Linked DNA regions of Danio rerio. The protein of the gene in region 2 purifies or fractionates together with the protein of the main gene of each other region. This does not show direct contact. Links are inferred from orthologs where the notes say so. Each region holds a gene or a part of one and is shown on either strand. Other genes may lie near its edges.

Region 1 (6,712 bases), on a different chromosome or scaffold from region 2:
CCCCAAATCAGAAAAAAGTTTGGACAATTCACATCATTATTTAATCAATTTACCTGATCACTAGCCCTAAATTGCTCTGGTCCCAAGTTTTGCTGCATTGTGCTGCAGGTGAATGACAGTAAAGGATGTATATTTACAAATGAAATAATGTTGACCAGACAAATCACGAAATATTTTGTGTTTATATTGTCTCCAATAAAATACAAGTCAAAGTAAATATAGTAATCCCTATTGTCTTATTTTATTTGTGTTTTCCGTACTGTTTCAACTTTTTCTGATTTGAGGTTGTAATAAATAGCATAATTGTCGTTAACTACTGGCCGCAGCTCTAAGGTTGTCCATTGCTGCAGTCCAATTTGTTATTGGGATACATCCACAGCAGGAAGTTAACAATAATTTCTATACGGTCTACACGGTAGCTCAGAGGTTAGCACGATGACCTCTTGACAAGAAGGTCACTGGTTCGAGTCCCGGCTGGATAAGTTGGCATTTCTATATGGAGTTTGCATGTTCTCCCCGTGTTGGTGTGGGTTTCCACTGGGTGTTTTGGTTTTCCCCACAGTCCAAACACATACGCTATAGAAGAATTGAATAAACTAAACTGGCCGTTGTGTATGACTATGAGTGTGTATGGGTGTTTCCCAGTACCGGAAGGGCATCATGGATACGAAAAGGAAGTCAATTTGCCCAAGAGTGTATTGTTTAAGGTTTTGAAAAATTACAATGACACATATGACACATTTGACACATATTCCCAAAATATGTGTCAAAATAAGAGTTGTCACCAAAAATTATTCCATTTACTGAAACAAAGATGTGGCCAAATTAAGACTCAAAATCAGCCCTGAGTGGATGAAAACAACAACATTCATGATTTTAAAAAGTGTTGTGCACAAATTGATTTTATTAAAATGATTTCTGAAGGATCTATGACAATATGAATAGTTTTTCTGGAGTAGCATTTTTATTTGTTCGTAAATGTTAATTCCTTCATCTTTCAAATTGTTCTTTATCTGGATTGAAATGAACACGTTCATCCTAAAATGCATTTGAAATGACGATAAAATTGTCTTCAGAGGCAAATTTACTGTTACTAATACATGATGGCGAAGATGAGGCCGTTTCAAGCCCATCAACAAGCAAGTGCATCTGAAAAAAAGGTCTCCAGCGTCCTCTAGTGGCCGAAGATCTGCATTTCTTTAAAATGGCCTGCATTTTCTTTACAGTGAAATTGTTCAGAATTAAAAACTATTTTTATTTTATTTTCATTCATTAATTTTCTTATCGACTTAGTCCCTTTATTAACTGGGAAACACCCACACACTCTTGTATTTACACACATTCACAAAGGACAATTTAGTCTATTACATATAGCGCATGTGTTTGGACTGTGCAACATGCAAACCCACACAGGAATGCCAACTGACCCAACTCGAGCCGGCGACTTTCTTGCTGTGAGGCGATTATGCAACGATTGACGCCCCTTTATTTTATTTTATTTTATTTTATTTTATTTTATTTTATTTTATTTTATTTTATTTTATTTTATTTTATTTTATTTTATATAGTCAGTGCAGGTCAAAAAAACTGCATGTTTTTTAATGTCTAAGTAAATATCCAAAATATTAATTTAAGTGTTTTATCAACTCTATTTATTATTTTGTGTCTGTAGATTTCAGTTGAAATACATATTTCGATTGACTTATTAAAATAAATTAAAGCAACATAAAATATTTGTTGTCTTGAATTTTTGTCATATTTTAGTGTAGAAGTTACAATGTACTGTTACAAACAGTGACACATTAATTTTATTTGGAATAAGAACGTTACGAGGGATTAAAATTAATAGCATATTAAGCACAACATAAACACTCCACTAAATAAACAAATTAAAATTTAAGAAAAAAATATACCCAAGTTTGACGTGGAATCAATCTCCGTTTACAGATGATTCAGTAATCAAAATAAAATCTGTTATCTTTTAATGCCTTTTTTTTCTTTGAAAAAAGAAAAAAAAAGAAAAACAACAACAAACGACCATAGAATAGCTCCTTACAAGAAGAAAACTTTTATTTTGCCTGGTAGTTCCCCATAACCCACCTACTCCCGGAAACGCCTTCCATAATAAAAGTACATGAGTGAGGTTGCATTGCAGACACGCACAGGTTATTAGACGCACGGTTATTATGGCCGGTAAAAGAGCGTTAGTGATTCTTGCGAAAGGAGCGGAGGAGATGGAGACTGTAATCCCGGTGGATGTGATGCGCAGAGCGGGGGTCTGTAGACACAAAACATTTAACTCGTGCAAATGTGTTGCCAAATGTCAATAACGTGTGTCAGTGATGTCTGTATGCAGCTGGTATGCTAATGTGTGTTGGTATTCTTAACATGCATGCATGCATTAATTAACGTTAGTGCAGTGAAGTGAAGATAATAAAGTTGTACTGTATGAATATTGCTTGTGTGCAGCGTTATGGTGGTCAGTTACTGCTGCCAGTGTGTAAATGCCAAAGTTTGCCTCTCTACAGGACACATTACATAATCACTGATTCTATGTCTTGGTCAATTTTGAGAGAAAGTTGATACTTTCATTGGTCAAATATGGCTTTAATAAATAAATAATTATATTGTTGAGCTTTTGTGCATTACATTTAGGAAAGAATCTTGAAAAACAGTCCTGTCACAGTTCTGAATTTTATGCTTCTTGGCACATAAAAAGCTGTGATTTAATTAGGATTTAAGTTTCTTTTCATTTTTTAAATATGTTTTTTTTTGTTTTAAGAAATTATTTTAATTTTCTATATTACTTTACGCACAATTAAATAGGCCACTGATTTTCCTTAATGCTATGAAATTATTATAAAGAATTGGATTTTCATCAAAACTTTATAGTGGTTATTTCAAATAATTGTGATTTAGATCAAATGACCACAGATAATTAATCAATATTTCATCAATATCATGCAGTCTTTAAGTGAATAATAGGAAAAATCATAGCATTTAAATGCATCAACAGTATATATCATCATTAGGCCCACACAGAATCTGCTGATTTTTAAGCCATCATTCAGTTTATTTATTTACTTGTGTAAATGTGTTAAATAAATATATATTTAATCAGTTTTAATATTAATTTCAGTATTATCATAGAATAAGTTGCCAATGCTTAGATAATTTATGTGCAATACAATTTGTACGCTAATATTTTCTGTCTATTAGAGGATGTGTGATATAAAAGTCGTACTTTAGCTTTCTTATACAATGCTAGTGGGTCCAATTTTGCATTTGAATTGTAAACCTTAAATAACAATTAAGAAGTTATTTTTTATTTTATGTTGTTTTTAGCCCCTATACTCTCAAAATCACTTTTCATAAATAAATAAATTAAATAATAATAAAAAAACAGAGTATTAATTTAATCTTTTTTTTTTTTTTTTTTTTGCTTAATTTTGTGCAGAAATACAGAAAAAACATTTAAGAAATCTTTCTGTCTGGCTCTGGCCATCATTACTATAGTGAAATACTATAGTATTTCACTGGAATATAGCAATTTGGTTTCTAGTCATAAATTATGTCTCATGCATGTTACATTTAATTTACAAATTCAATAAATATCAATAAGCAGAGTGTTTTGTCCCTTTCTCGTAGATCGCTGTTACTGTCGCAGGTCTGGCAGGTAAAGAGCCGGTTCAGTGCAGCCGTGAGGTCATGATCTGCCCAGACTCCAGCCTGGAGGACGCACACAAACAGGTCTGACTTTACATATTATAAGTACCTGCTTATCTAAATTTTACAATTTAGTGTAACTCTTAAGTAGTTCTGCACAATACTGGGAAAATATGCAATATTTTGTTGTTGAGTGTTGCGATCATGATATTTCTTACGATATAACTAACTTTAAAAAAAAGTATACACCTTCTTTAAAAAAATAATTTATTTATGTAATATTTAAACTAAAATAAACAGGTACTAGATATTTTTCTGAGCTAATTAAATCTCAAAATAAATAAATGATAGGGGTATTCGATTTTAAATCAAAATCAATCGAAACTTATGCTCAATTTCGATTATCGAATCAAAAAATAGAATCGTCGATGCTGCCACGCCCCCATGTCACGTCAGGCCCGTTGCAAATCCGCTCGCAAAAGTACACCACCAAAGGTTGATCTCTAGAGGTATCTGTCCTGGGTCATTCTTTGTCCTTGGCGTAACCCGTCTTTGTGATGTCTGCCTCGAGGTCACGTCACCAGGTATATCTTGGAAGGCCTCTCTTCCGCTTTCCTTTGCGGTTTCATCTAAGAGCTTATCTGGTGATCATCACAGGTTGGACTCAGCATGCACACAGAGAAGACCAAGATTCTTAAGATCAACTACAACAATCCATTAACTCTGAAGGAGGTACAGTCTTTTACTTACCTGGGCAGTGTCATCGACCAGCATGGTGGAACAGATACTGACATTAAGGGCCTACTTACACTATGCCATCCGTACCGTGCCCAGGCCCGTTTCCTGGATTGTTTGAGAAGTGTGAGTGCACTGAATCGGACTCAAGCACGGTTCACTTGGCCGCCCCTGGCCTGGTTGGAAGAGGTGGGCCTGAGCGCGGTTCACTTGGGCTCAAAAACTGAAAGCGAGACGTGACTTTTAAAGGGCTCATATGGATTTATTAATCATTCTTACTGTTCAGTGAACGCAAACTGCCGTAGTTTATTAAAGACGAGAACTCCTCACTGCATGACAGCTGCGCTCCTTCAGCAGACCTCCTCATTCCTGCAGCACGAGAGCTTTATGATTGTTTATAAGCGCCAAAAGTGACGGATCTGTTCGGCAAAATATCTGACTGCGTGTCACCGCATCCCTAAGGACTGTGTGGTGAAATATTTGACTGCATGTCACTGCATAACAAACGACTGACACAATATATAACTAGAGTTGTTGTACAGGTTTGAAATTTAAAGGTTAACCAAAACTACTACCAGAAGAACCTATACATTCATCAACACTTGTCTCACAAAGACTCTATACATTCACAGGCCTGTCATGATCTGTAACACCAACCTATGGGGAGGGACCCATATATATTTATATATTTTTAAATGTATATAAATATATATATATATATATATATATATATATATATATATATATATATATATATATATATATATATATATATATATATATATATTGAATAATCATAATTATAATTATGACCAAAATAAGCATTATTATAATTTTTCATATAATCGAGCAGCCCTACCTACTCCTGCTTTCATCTCTGAACTGATTTGGATTTAAAGAACGTTGAAAGTAAATAAATGGAGTATTGTCTCCATCTTCTGGCCAAGCAATGCATTGCCAATAAAATAAGCACTACTGCTTTACCACTGAAATTCATTAGGTATTCTTGCTTTATTAAAGGATCTTAATTTTAAATAAGAAAACCCTTACAATATTCATGAGACTCATATACATATGCAAAATGTCAAATATTCTGTGGGAGTTCAGTTTAAATTGAGTTGCTTTCATTTAATAAAACAAGAATTCCTAATGAAATCAATGGTAAACAGTATTTCTGCATATGCATAATATAAACAAAGCAAATGTTCATGATTGTTTTCTTCCTTGTTTATATACACATGCAGAATGTCAAATATTCTGAGGGAGTTCAGTTTTAATTGAGTTGCTTTCATTTAATAAAACAATATTTCCTAATGAATTTCAATGGTAAATAAGTATTCTAATCAGTATGTAACCAATATGGTTTTATGTCAGTTGTGCATGTCATTTTCTTTCCTAAACAGGGTCCATATGACGTTGTTCTTCTGCCTGGAGGTTTGCTTGGAGCCCAGAACCTTTCTGAGGTACAAATCTGTTTTAATTATGCATGTTTTACAGTAGAGTGAGTTCCATAGGAGAGCTCTTACGCCATTCGAGTCTTACATAAGGTTATGAGTGTTCCTCAAATCAACAGAAAACATCTTTGAGTCATCTGCCGAGGTTAGAAACACGGTCGCATTGTGAAACGCAAACATTGCGCAATTATGTAAATTGAAGCAGTGTTGTGACAGTTGTTTCTGTAGTGCGTCATATACATATAAGTGTGTGTGTGCATGTGTGTGTTGTAGTCTCCTGCTGTGAAAGAGGTGTTGAAGGACCAGGAGGGCAGGAAGGGTCTGATCGCTGCAATCTGTGCAGGTAATCTTCATTTGGTGACCTCTGTGCACACATTAACCTTTTCCTGGATAAACATCCACCATTTCAACTGCTCTATTAGGCATAATGTCAGGAAGACACGTCATATATTACCTTTTTGGTAACACTTTACTTGACGGGGTGTTCGTAAGACTGTCATGAAATCTTTCTAATTATGATGACACATGTTATGAATGAGTTTTTATGCATGCTTCTAACAACTGTCATTAATTGTCATTCGCTCAATTATGACATTTTGAATGCAAAGATGACATTATTTGTTATGACAATTTGACTAAAACAAATACAAAACAATCAGTCTTTATATTTGTCATGACAACTTGATATTACCTGCAGCTAGCTCTCTGCAACTCTCACATGGTCACCCATCATACCTGTCAACCCTTCCGTTTTTCCCGGGATTCTCCCGTATTTTACAGTTCTATCCTGCTATGATCCCGTAAAGGTATTTTCCCGTATTTCTCCCATATTTTCAGTCTTTCTCAGAGGGGTGGCA
Region 2 (5,114 bases):
TTCTCGTTACTGCATGTGTGTCAGCCAATAACAAGGTTGCTACTTAAATACATTGAAAGTTCACCCAAAAATGAAATTCTGCCATCGTTTACTCACCCTTCACTTGTCACAAACCTATTTGAGATTCTTTTTTCCCCTGTTGAACACAAGTTAAGAAAATATTGGAATCTACTTCAACAGTATTTGTTTTTCCTATTATAGAAGTCAATGGTTGCTCCAGTTTCCCCCACCAGTCAAAAGACATGCGCTATGGGTGAATTGGGGAATCTAAATTTTCAGTAGTGTATGCGTGTACCCAGCAAACAATTTTGTGTTTATAGACGTCTTAATGACATCTAAACGTAGACAGCCTGGCTAAAACAAGGGTAAATTCGAGCTGTCAGAGAAAATCTATATAGACATCTAGCCAAAAAAGACTATCAAATCGACAGATTTAATAAGTGTAGTCATTCATTTCTGTTTGTTTGATTTATTTGGTTTTGACCTATTCTTTAGACGTCTATTAGATTTTTTACTGATAGCACAAATTAAGCCTTGTTTTAGCCAAGACTACCATGTTTAGACATCTATTAGGCATCTTTTACAAATAAAAAATACTTGCTGGGTGTGTCTTGATCTTCCGGGTTGGGGATTGAGCATTGAGCTAACAACCGACTTTGTAAAAATTTGATGTTATGAAACACCAACATGGTGCAGCTAAATATGAACTTCGATATAAACGGCCCTGATAGTAAGAAAGAACTCAATGGTTACCGGTTTTCAACATTCTTCAAAATATATTTTGTTCAACAGAAAGAAAATAAAAAAAGAAACAATAACTTTACACCTTGTCATAAAAACAGTAAACTGAGGCTACAGTTCACATGCCTTCACTAAACGAGCAGTTGAAGATTGGGAAATGGTTGCCTGGTCTGACGAGTCTTCATTTCTGCTACAGGATGTGAATAGAAATTAGTGTAAACATGCACGTAAAGATCAATCCTGCTTTGTAATTGAAGACTGGGCTGCTGCATGATGGTGCTGTAAAGATATGATGAATTTTTGGCACCTTTTTTCTGGCTGTCCTTGCACAGTGTACCTAGCGATGCGACTTCTAGCAGGTGAACGAGGCATGTCAAAAAGCTTAAATCAAACAATTAAACAAGTTTCTTGACAGTGAATTCACTATAGTCAAATTAGCCACTGCAGTAAACAGATCTCAATCCAGAGCACCTTTGGGATGCAGTGGAATGGGTGATTGCATCATGGAAGTGCAGCTGACAAATATATACCAACTACATGATGCCATCATGTCAACATGGACCAAAATCCTGAATGAATGTTTCTAACATCATGTTAAACCTCTGCCTCAAAGAATTAAGGGATAGTTCACGCAATCATTTACTCCCCCTCAAGTGGTTACAGATGTTTAAGAGTCTTTCTTCTGCTGAACACTAAAGAGGTTATTTTGAAAGAAGGAACCCCTGAATACTGTGGAAGTCAATGTTTCCAGCTTTCTTCAAAATATCTTCTTTTGTGGTCAACAGAAAAAAAGACAGATTTGGAACTTGTTAAAAGCGAGTAAATGATGACAATTTTCAGTTTTGGGTGAATATCCCTGTCAGGTACTAGTTTCAAATGCCAAAGGTCATTAAGTCTAGTACTAGCAAGGTTTACCTAATAAAGTGGCTGGATTGCAAATTAATCAATTATCCCAGAAAAAAAACCTGCTATTTTAATATTATTTTATGCTATTATATATTTTTATGCTACAATTTTAGTAATTTTAGCAATAAAATTGTAATTTTAAATTACAAATAAACACTGATTAGCATTCATTCTAATAATGGACTTGCACAATTTTATTAAATGTAGTTCATAAAAGACACACACATCCACATTTCCAGTCTGCTCAATGTTTAATGAATTAAGCAGATAACAAATAAAAGGTTGCCCACATAGAAATGCACAGAAAAACAGCTTAACAAGGCTAAAGTACAATTCTTTCAACGTTACCTAACAAAAATAGAGATGTAATTGTCAGCGGGCTAAGTGCTTTCAGAGGCATCCACATTGGTCACCAATATTTCAACCGGCTCTTCCATTAGAGCAGATTCACTGAGTGATGCCGATCACTCCACAGGCCAGACGACCACCAGCGTTGCCAGTTTTAAGACTTTCCTCATTGCCACCCTTCCCCAAGTCATCCTCCTTCTCATGAATCTACAGCAGGAAGACACAAGAGGTCGGCTGTTATTGCACAGTTATTGTCATTTAATGTGCCGCTTTTTATAAATGATGTCTTCCTTACCACCATGGTCCTCCCAATAATAGAATGTTGGCCTGACAGAGTCAGCATTGCATCCTCGATTTCAATTTTTGCAACACCACTGGCATCAGCGGTCACATTACCCAGGTCTCCGACGTGTCTAAGAGAGACAGTACATTACAGTAATAAAACATCTACTAAACCAAGACATCACACTGAACACATACTGTATTCCTAATGTGCATGCAATAAAACAACAAATCTTTCATTACTTCATTATTTAAATCAATCAATTATCTGTGTAATCGAAGGCGATTTTCAGTCATTCTATGCATTATTCCCTTCACACAGTTCTAATAGTCACCGCTTCTTTGAGTTAGCGCATGCTCATGTTGGTATAAGATTTGACAGTATCGAGCCAACAAGTTCTTGGGCAGCCTTTCCTCCTACTTTCACTGACCATTCCCAGCAAGACTGCCTTCTTGAGTGAATTGCTACGCATGACATGGGGAAGGATAGAATAGGATAATTTCTGTTTGGTGATCTTGGCCTCCGGCGAGGTCTTTGGCTTGATGCACACTAGGACTTCTTTGTTGGCGATTCTCGCTGCCCACGGGACGGTATTATTTATATTCTATTTATTTATAGCTTTTTGTTTATTGCCAATTAATATGTGTAATGCTATTTACACTTCATTTAAAAATTTTCATTTTCATTTTTCAATTGGGTAGCCATGTTTTTTTTTTTTTTAAGTTCCTCTTTTGACAAAAAATAAAAAAGAAAATCATAAAATGCTATTGCAGGATTTTTGCAGATATCATAGTGTCAAATTCAAGACTTTTAAAGACTTTAAGGCCATTAAGTATTACATTTAAGACCTATATCACAATACCAAAAACATGCATACGCATAAAGAGAAAACGCAAAATTTGTGGTAAAACAAATGTATTCAAATTGAACAGTACTGAAGACAGGTTAGATGCATCATTGAACTATAGGAAAAAAAAACAAACAAACATCTTATGCTGTCGCCTGGTGCTGCATCACGCACCTTCGCTGACTGCGAGGGCACCTCAAATGGACGAGGCTCTTTAAAACGACAGGGGCAATGAAAAGAAAGCCACCGTAAAGTCAGACGCATAAACAGAGAAATAGGAAGTTTCAGGAACTACGTCATATCATTAATATCGTTCAAGATTTTTAAACTTATTTTTTATGATTTATTAAAATGATTATAAAGATTTTTATAACCATTCAAGATTTTTTTAAAATCAAACTTTGATGCATCACTTGCTTTTGTTCATGTCTCGAACAGTTCTGCCAATTAATGTATAAAAGCAAAAAAAAGTACACTTACAAAAAACATATTCTGTAATTGTGTACCTGGTTCACTTTTGCCATGACCACTTTTGGCTTAAACTTATCCCTCATGTTTTTTTCAAACTTTAACAAAAGCTTTCATCTTTTCCCACAGCTGTTGCAATCTGGCTAAGAATTATTTGTCATCTGGTTCTCCACTATCACGCATGGACAGATCATAATGGTGTCTGTAAAGTCGTATACTCGTTTCAGACAAAATCTCTACAAAGGGATTCTTATTCAACTCAAATCAAACGCTGTGCGAACTGTTCACCCGAGTCTCAAATAATCCTGTGCGCTCCACCAGCCGAAAACACGTCGCGCGCATGACGCATGCCATGACATCACATTCGCTGCGTGATAACAGTTCGTTATTGAGTTCAATAACAGTAGGCTGATTGGCTGTTGCATGTTGGTCTCATTTGTAGTTTTTATACCGCATTTTATACCACATTTGGACTATTGAAATAAACAACTACAACACCACAAAAACCAAGCAACAACAAAAAATAATTTAAATGAGCATTAGATGTAGTGTTACATGGACATGGGAAAAATAAGACCGGTGCAAAAATATTTAAGACCTAGAACAGCAAATTAAAGATTTTTTTAAGGCCTAAAATTTCGATTTTTAAGTTTGAGACTTTAAGACCCTGCGGAAACCCTGTATTCGATGTTCTGTCTTCTGACACCACACATGCCTAAATTGAGATACAGGCCCATGCGACAAATGCAGATCAACTTTTAAACAAACAGGATTTAAGTAAATGGGACAACTTTGAGGGCAAGTAGAGTTTCTGCTTTCAGTGACAATCCGTACAGACAATAAATATTAGCATTTTACTATATATAGATACTGTAAATCATGCAAAACAGATGTATCAGAGCACACTGATAAACTCACCTCACACTATCGGTTGGCCCACCATGAGTTTTGTCATGAGGGTTGAAGTGCGGACCTGCACTGATGCAGCCTGTGATCAAGAGCAAAAAATAAATAAAAATAGCACAAGTGTGATTTGTGGCCCTTTAAACGCATTAAGTGCTTACACTATGAAAGTATGTAAGTGGAGAATTTAAAAACTTTTCAGAGCTGTTTACTCCTTCACTTTGGATTCAGAACCAGGTAAAAAATGGAGTCTAATGGTTTTAGGTCAAGGTTATTGGTCCTGATGGGATGAACTTGTACTTTAATGCAGTGTTTCTCAACCATGTTCCTGGAGCTGATGATCTGAATCAGGTGTGTTTGGTTAAGGAGACATGGAAAATATGCAGAACTGATGATCCTCCTGGAACGTGGTTGAAAAACACTGCTTTAATGAATGGAGTGGCATACCCTGACACCCCGTTTACACCTGAAATTATGATGCATTTTGCTCACAAGGAGGTTGTTTACACCTGGGATCTCATTTAATAGGGTGGTGAATGCACAAAATGGGGGGAGAAATGAAGCGATATAAATCATCATGTGGGCCATAATAATCGCTAAATGTTCAGTTTGACCACT
Region 3 (6,775 bases), on a different chromosome or scaffold from region 2:
TAAACAATATATACATTTCATATTGCAGCCTCTTGCGAATAACTAATCACAACGTTTTAAATTGGGATACGAGTTTGATTAATCTCACAGCTCTACTTGGCTTCATCAACACTATAGGCGATTTTGAATGATAAAAATATTATAATACACATACTCATAAAAACTTTTTGGTCCATTTAAAAAAAGAAAAAAAAAAACGCACATTATAATATATACACATTTATTTTCTATTTAGTATTAGGCTACAATATTATTTTGTTCCTCCTACTAATAATATACTATTACAATTACTATAATAATTTAATTATGATATTTACACATTCAAATGTTATTAGTTAGAACTTGCAATTATCTAAATGTTATTTATTATATTTGTTTTTTAAATTACTTATTTGAATCTCACAAATGTTCATCTTCATTTAATAATTAGATGGTATACATTTTCTTTTAAAAAATGCTTATAGTAATAATTTGTAATTTATTAATTAAATTTTTATTATTATTATTATTATTAGTTAATTTATTATTTTGTTTGGCTAATATTTTACAATAAAATCTGCATGAATGACCCCTTTCCCCAGTTTGAGAACCTCTGATTTAATCAATGACGTGGCCCCGCCCAAAACTGACAAACATTGGTTGAAGCAGGCAGAAATCCTTTACTGATTGGCTGATAGTAGCCAACAAATCGAAGAATCAGTTTCTTAAAAGATCCTAGTGTGATTTTTCATTACAATTTCGGTGTTCGGTTAGGCATAGAGTACATTTAATGCATGGCAGTCACACACAGAAAAAAATATCTGAACAAGGATAATATCTGAACAATCCCTAACCAGCAAGGGAAAAAAAGCCTTGTGTCGAGGTCACATGATACGGATGCCAAAAATTTGTCTTTGCACTCGCCGCCCCCTCCAATGCTTTACACTGGCCATTCATTCATTTTTTAAGCTAATTCTCCTCTTATTTGGTGTCCAAAATGTCAGCACCTCCCCTTAAAACATGTTCTGGAATATACGATATCATCACTTCATGGATCACATGGACACTTACAACAATGTTTCGTAAAATCAGAGTACCATGCATTTAAAAAAATGTTTAATATAACATTAGACTAACATTTTCAGTGTAATGTTATTTTGTATTTAATGTAAATACTAATGTTTAAACAATCGTGTCTTGTAAAGCCTGTAGTGAGTCCCTCTACTACCCCACGTGTGTTCAGGGCGTCACAAGGTCAAAATCACTCCGCGTCACGACACAGACGGAAATGATGCCTTTCATCTCCATGAGTTCACGTTATAAAGTTCCCTGGATATTCCTTTTGTTTAATCAAAATCAACCATAGTAGATTTTACACCGCTTAAATATTCCAAACATAAAAATATTTAATATTCGTAGGCCTCAATATAGCATAACTTGCAATAGTCAACTGAACACCTATAACCACTATTATACTGTCTTAAATTGCTTATAAAGCAACAGCTAAATTAAACACATGCATTACAGTTGTCAGCATAAGTGCATAACGTTATAATATGCAAAACACCCTGCTTACTATAAAGCCGGCTATTCTAATGGCTGCATCTGTCATCAAGGATAAATGTTAAAAAAAAATTAACTAATTGACAAGTCGTTCGACAAGAAACATGCACGATGCTACTTTATAACTCTGAGAAACAACGTGACAGTGTGTTACATGATTAACTTACATGCTACGATACGTCCCTGCCTGTTTGAGCTCACTGATTTCAATTATCTTTATATCAGCTTGGCATTAAAGAGCATTAAGCAATATATTGTGTTTATAGGCTTTTATGGATGAGGATAATGCTGAGTGACTTACTGCAGAGTGATCTGGAGGTGAATGAAGGGATGCGCGTGTCCGTCAGCGGAGCAGGCTGAATGATATAAGAGGAGCCGCTTTAGAGCCGCTGCAGTTCCACTCGACGCACATGTGTTCTTCATCCGGGTAACCTCCCCCGCAGCCCTGACATCTGCATAACTCAATACTCTCACATTCTATGTATGCGTTATGCTTTTTTTAAAACATACGCTTTCAGCAACTTTTGTCTCAATAATAATTGACGTATTTTGACGACAGTGGGAGAAAATGTGAACAAAATGTATCATTAATATCTATTAAATCGGTGTTATGCTCGTTCCGGGGCTTTAAGTTCGAGAAATTTCGCAGATTCTATTGGAGAAAAATAGACGTCAGAGGTCAAGATTGTGCAACCAGAAATGGTATTGCGTTTTGCAAATTTCGTTGTTTTTTTTGTTAAAGGTCTAATATTATAACCTTTTCTTATAGATTATCTACATATTAAGTCAATATATGTGTATTTATATTATATAATTACAATACTTTATTATTAATAATATTAGTATTATGTAGAAAGCTCAAGATAGCTTTTAAAAATGCATTTGAGTTGAGTTATTTGTCAATTTTATCTTTTAAAAATAAAAATCATCTATATTAAATGTGTTTGAATAACGTGAAATTTTGTACTGAAGCAGCACATGTATTATTCATTTAAATATTGTGCAAGTTATAAATGCTGTAACAATCAGATAAAAATTTCTCCTTTGTTACGAAACAACAAAAAAAGAGTCAAATGTCTTTATGTAAGGTTTGGGAGATCGAGGAATATTCTAGATTGCAGGTCTGGGGTCGGTAGGGATTGTCTTGTGGCGCATGCGCAGTGCCCTTCCAGACATTTCTTCTTCACGTGGATCGCAGGAGTGAAGTGGTCCAGTGTGACGGTCTCTTGCTGCTCTGTCGGACGCGGTTTTCTTAAAGATCAGCTAAAATGGTAAGACGCGTAAGATAATTAATCCAACTACTCCGTCTGAATGAGATGTTACTATGTTGTGTTGAATTGTTTCGCGTGATGTTTTATAACTCCCCATCAACTGCGACTGCAAGGTCACGGTTAGTAATGCAGTCGTGCCCAGATTCAATGTGTAAAAATGATTTGATGCTGAAGTTGTTAGTTAATATGGGCACGTGAAGTGTGGGTGAAAGGTTGGTTTATGTCAATAAGGTTCAGAGCTAACCCGATGTATTTAATGAATAATTTTGCTAACAGCTGGTTTATACACCAGCGTAACATTTTGGTATAACGTTAACGTTAGATGTGTAAATGGGGTTTTAATAGTGTTAATGTTACACGATAAAAAAAATGCACCTGACATTTTGTGTTATAAATACTTAACGTGTTAAGAGTGTTTTTCTTGTATATCCGTCACACATTGTGTAAAATTGACTTAATTTTCGTTATAATAACTTAATAATTCACGTTGTGGAAACACTCAGGCTCAAAGATCAGTACAGCCAATAGTGTTTCAGCTAGACATGAACTTCCGGGTCATTTTGAATAGAGGCGAACGCATGTGCATTATGATGGACACTGCTGTAACTACTTTGTATTTTATTGAGACAGATATATATTTTTAAATGCAGGGTAATGCTTTTATTTGTGCATATTTAAGAGAAAGTTTACCCAAAAATGAAATGTACTTTTACTCAGTCCTGAAGAGGTTCTATATCTTTGAGCGTTTTTTTCTGTTAAAAAGATAAGATATTTAGAAAAATGTTGGAAACCGGTAGCCGTTAACATCCATTAAAAATATATATATAAAAGTAAGTCAATAACTACCGGTTTCCAATAGCATGCTAAGTGATGTGCGTATTTTATTTTCTACTAGATAGTAATCGAGTCATTTGTGCCACGACTTGTGAGTTATAAATTTGCCTTGTAGTTTGCGGCCAGGTGAAACTGATTTACTCTAGAATCTTCTACACGCTTGTCTGTTCTGCCTTCAGGGTTCAGGGTTTATCATGTTGCCTGTCCTTTTGTCCTTCAGCAGTATGGTAAACATTTACAAAACCTCCAAAACTTTTTCCTCCCCCACACTAACCCTCAACATCTCCTGTCCCATCAACCCTCCCTCACACACGACCTTCTCCCAAGGTCACACACATCTGTTCTCAGAAAAGCAGCAGCTGTTGTCTTTGTAACGGTATGATACAGAGTGTTTGATGGTCAGCACTTTTCTGGAGTCAGCCTAAAACTTATCTTTGAAAGAATGCAAACCAAAGATTTAGTTACAACTGAAATCAAAAATCAGTTGTTCTTTATTATGGGACTCCAGTTTATTTTAAAATCATGAATGAACACTTTTGGTCATGGAATAATCATTTAGCAAAAGCCGCAGACGAAAATGAAGACAAATCTAAAGGGATAGTTCACGAAAAAACTCTAGAAAATTCTGTTATATTTACCTTTAACTCTCAGTTTGTCTTTTGTTGAACAGAAAATAAGTTATTTAGAAAAATGCTGAAAACCTGTAACCTTTGGTTATTTCTACCATGAAAGTCAATGGTTACTGATAAAAACTGTTGGGGTTTTTTGTGTGACGCCCCCTTGTGTGTGTTTTTTTCCCTTTTCAAGTGTTGCGAAACTGTATCGACTATTTCTCCACTGCACTAAGCATGATTTTTTTTTCCTTTCTAGCAGGCTTTCCGGAAGTTTCTCCCCATGTTTGACCGTGTGTTGGTAGAGCGGCTCGCTGCAGAGACCGTGTCAAGAGGAGGCATCATGATTCCAGAAAAGTCTCAAGCCAAAGTGCTGCAGGCTACCGTGGTAGCAGTGGGTCCAGGATCCACAAACAAGGTAATTTTTATTTATTTAAAATTTTATTTACATTTTTCATTACAGTGTGTGAAATCAGAGTTTTAATTATTTCTGTTTTTCAGGATGGGAAAGTAATACCTGTCTGTGTCAAAGTTGGGGATAAAGTTTTGTTGCCGGAGTACGGAGGAACTAAAGTTATGCTTGAAGATAAGGTTTGAACATTTGCCGTTTATTGACTCTTACTTTTTATCCATTTAGAACAGAGATGCCCAAACTAGGGGCCCATGGGCCAAAGTTGGCCCATACTAACCTTTGTTTTGGCCCCTCATCCCATCTGAGAAAAGAGGGAGAATGATGGGGATGATTTAGAGATTGTCAATTAAAATTTAATTTAACCCTTTGTTTGTTTTATTGTTAAAAGCTAACTGAAATTAAATGATGCAAATTAATCAGATTTTAATTAAATACTGGCACTCGACAATGCAGAGACTTTGATGAGCAAATTAACCTGTGTATTCAGCATTGTACTCCACTGTGTTATAAATGTAATTGTTTGTTTTTATTGCTATATGTTATCATTTTAAAAGTTATACTGCATTAGTTAATACAATTAAGTAATATTTTCTATTTATTTTGAAATATTATGAAATAAATTAGAAAATGACCCATGGCAACTTGAATGTAAAATAGTTTGGTTTGTTTACCTTTGGCCCATGGCTATCAAGAATATTTGCTTTTTGGTCCTTCATGTGAAACCTTTTTAAGCACCCCTGATTTCTGAGGTTTGAGTTTTTTTTTTTTTTTTCTTACAGAAACCAAATGTATTTGCATCCAAAATAACGAAATTGAAATGTAATCTATTTTATAATGATTGTTTGATTTATAAACTGCTATTCTTCTTTTATTTTCTTTTGTAGGACTATTTCCTTTTCCGGGATGCAGATATTCTTGGCAAATACGTAGATTGAAGTCAGCTTGTCCAGCCATCTGTGTCATTCTAAAGTGCATAGAATGAAAGATTGTTCCATGTTTGTTTTCATTTTTCTATGTCATTTGATTGTAAATAAGTATGATCATGTTTTGTTAAAATAAAGTGATCTTGATGTTTCATCTCACTTTTTGAGGTTAACAGTTTTGAAATTGAACATGTGACCGCTGAAACGTATACCAACTGTATAAACTGGGAAGTGATATACATCTTAACAATTGAAGCATTGCCAAGACTTTATAGTTCATATACATGAAAATTGTTTTTAATTTTGGTAGATTATGAATCACTCTTCTTTAACTTTTTAAAATGGAATGAGATGGATTTTTTTAAGTAACAAAAGAACTGCTTGTTCTAGTGGTAAAAAAGGTTATTTTTTTAATTTATTAGTTTTCTTTAAATTATATGATTTTGAATTCTATGTTGGATGTGATCAGAAGTTAACTAAAATAATTAGATAGTGCCTCCTGAAAGTAATCCAATTCCTATAACTCCTCGCATTGATGTTTTTCAGCTGACTACATTTTTATTCATTAAATTTTTGGAAATATTCTGAAGACGGCTTCTTCTTATTTGGACAGATTTAGAATCAGTGGTCAGATTGTCACTGACTGGCATCTTTTCTGTAGCTGAATACAGGAACATGCATAACAGTACACAAAATACAATATCAATCAAAAAATGACAGTGACAAAAAGTACAGTACTACAGGAAGCAATGGAAATAACAATAGCATCATAAAATTAAAGAAAAATAAGTTTTTTTTGCATTTACAAGGGTTACTAAAAATTGCTTACACAAAGATCTTAAGAGCAGAGCAGATTTTGACAGTTTTTAAAGCTTTATTATTAGCTGATCCTGAAATCAGTTCTATGTTATTTTAATTTTAAGAAGATCACAAAGGCAGGTTTACAATTTGAGAGTCTTAAATGTGAAGTGCATGACAACATTTACTGCTTGCTTTTACAAGTCCCAAATTTTGTTCACAAAGTCATCACCAGATGGTGCCATTGGCCATTTAACGATAACATTCGATTATTTTTCTAACTGCAGAATTTCAAGACACCGATCTCCTACATGTTTATCGATTAAAAAAAAAAAGAAAAACTATTCAATATAGTAGATTACAAATCACAATCAAGCTTAGATT

The links.
Region 1: the proteins of sod1 (region 2) and park7 purify together in Homo sapiens (affinity purification with mass spectrometry; 4 studies listed by BioGRID and IntAct, with this or other methods). This does not show direct contact. The link is inferred for Danio rerio from reciprocal best matches to the Homo sapiens genes SOD1 and PARK7.
Region 3: the proteins of sod1 (region 2) and hspe1 purify together in Homo sapiens (affinity purification with mass spectrometry; 3 studies listed by BioGRID, with this or other methods). This does not show direct contact. The link is inferred for Danio rerio from reciprocal best matches to the Homo sapiens genes SOD1 and HSPE1.

What each region holds. Positions count from the first base shown.
Region 1 is NC_133186.1:43,778,192-43,784,903, forward strand, and holds the start of park7 (Parkinson disease protein 7 homolog), read left to right. Parts: upstream 1-2,128; 5' UTR 2,129-2,186; coding exon 2,187-2,276; intron 2,277-3,648; coding exon 3,649-3,750; intron 3,751-5,804; coding exon 5,805-5,864; intron 5,865-6,128; coding exon 6,129-6,198; intron 6,199-6,712. UniProt on the Homo sapiens protein: Multifunctional protein with controversial molecular function which plays an important role in cell protection against oxidative stress and cell death acting as oxidative stress sensor and redox-sensitive chaperone and protease.
Region 2 is NC_133185.1:30,630,560-30,635,673, forward strand, and holds the end of sod1 (superoxide dismutase [Cu-Zn]), read right to left. Parts: intron 4,582-5,114; coding exon 4,512-4,581; intron 2,409-4,511; coding exon 2,291-2,408; intron 2,203-2,290; coding exon 2,095-2,202; 3' UTR 1,880-2,094; downstream 1-1,879. UniProt on the Homo sapiens protein: Destroys radicals which are normally produced within the cells and which are toxic to biological systems.
Region 3 is NC_133184.1:33,978,968-33,985,742, forward strand, and holds hspe1 (10 kDa heat shock protein, mitochondrial), read left to right. Parts: upstream 1-2,191; 5' UTR 2,192-2,244; intron 2,245-2,299; exon of another isoform or gene 2,300-2,428; intron 2,429-2,630; 5' UTR 2,631-2,810; coding exon 2,811-2,813; intron 2,814-4,517; coding exon 4,518-4,676; intron 4,677-4,759; coding exon 4,760-4,849; intron 4,850-5,554; coding exon 5,555-5,605; 3' UTR 5,606-6,182; downstream 6,183-6,775. UniProt on the Homo sapiens protein: Co-chaperonin implicated in mitochondrial protein import and macromolecular assembly. Together with Hsp60, facilitates the correct folding of imported proteins.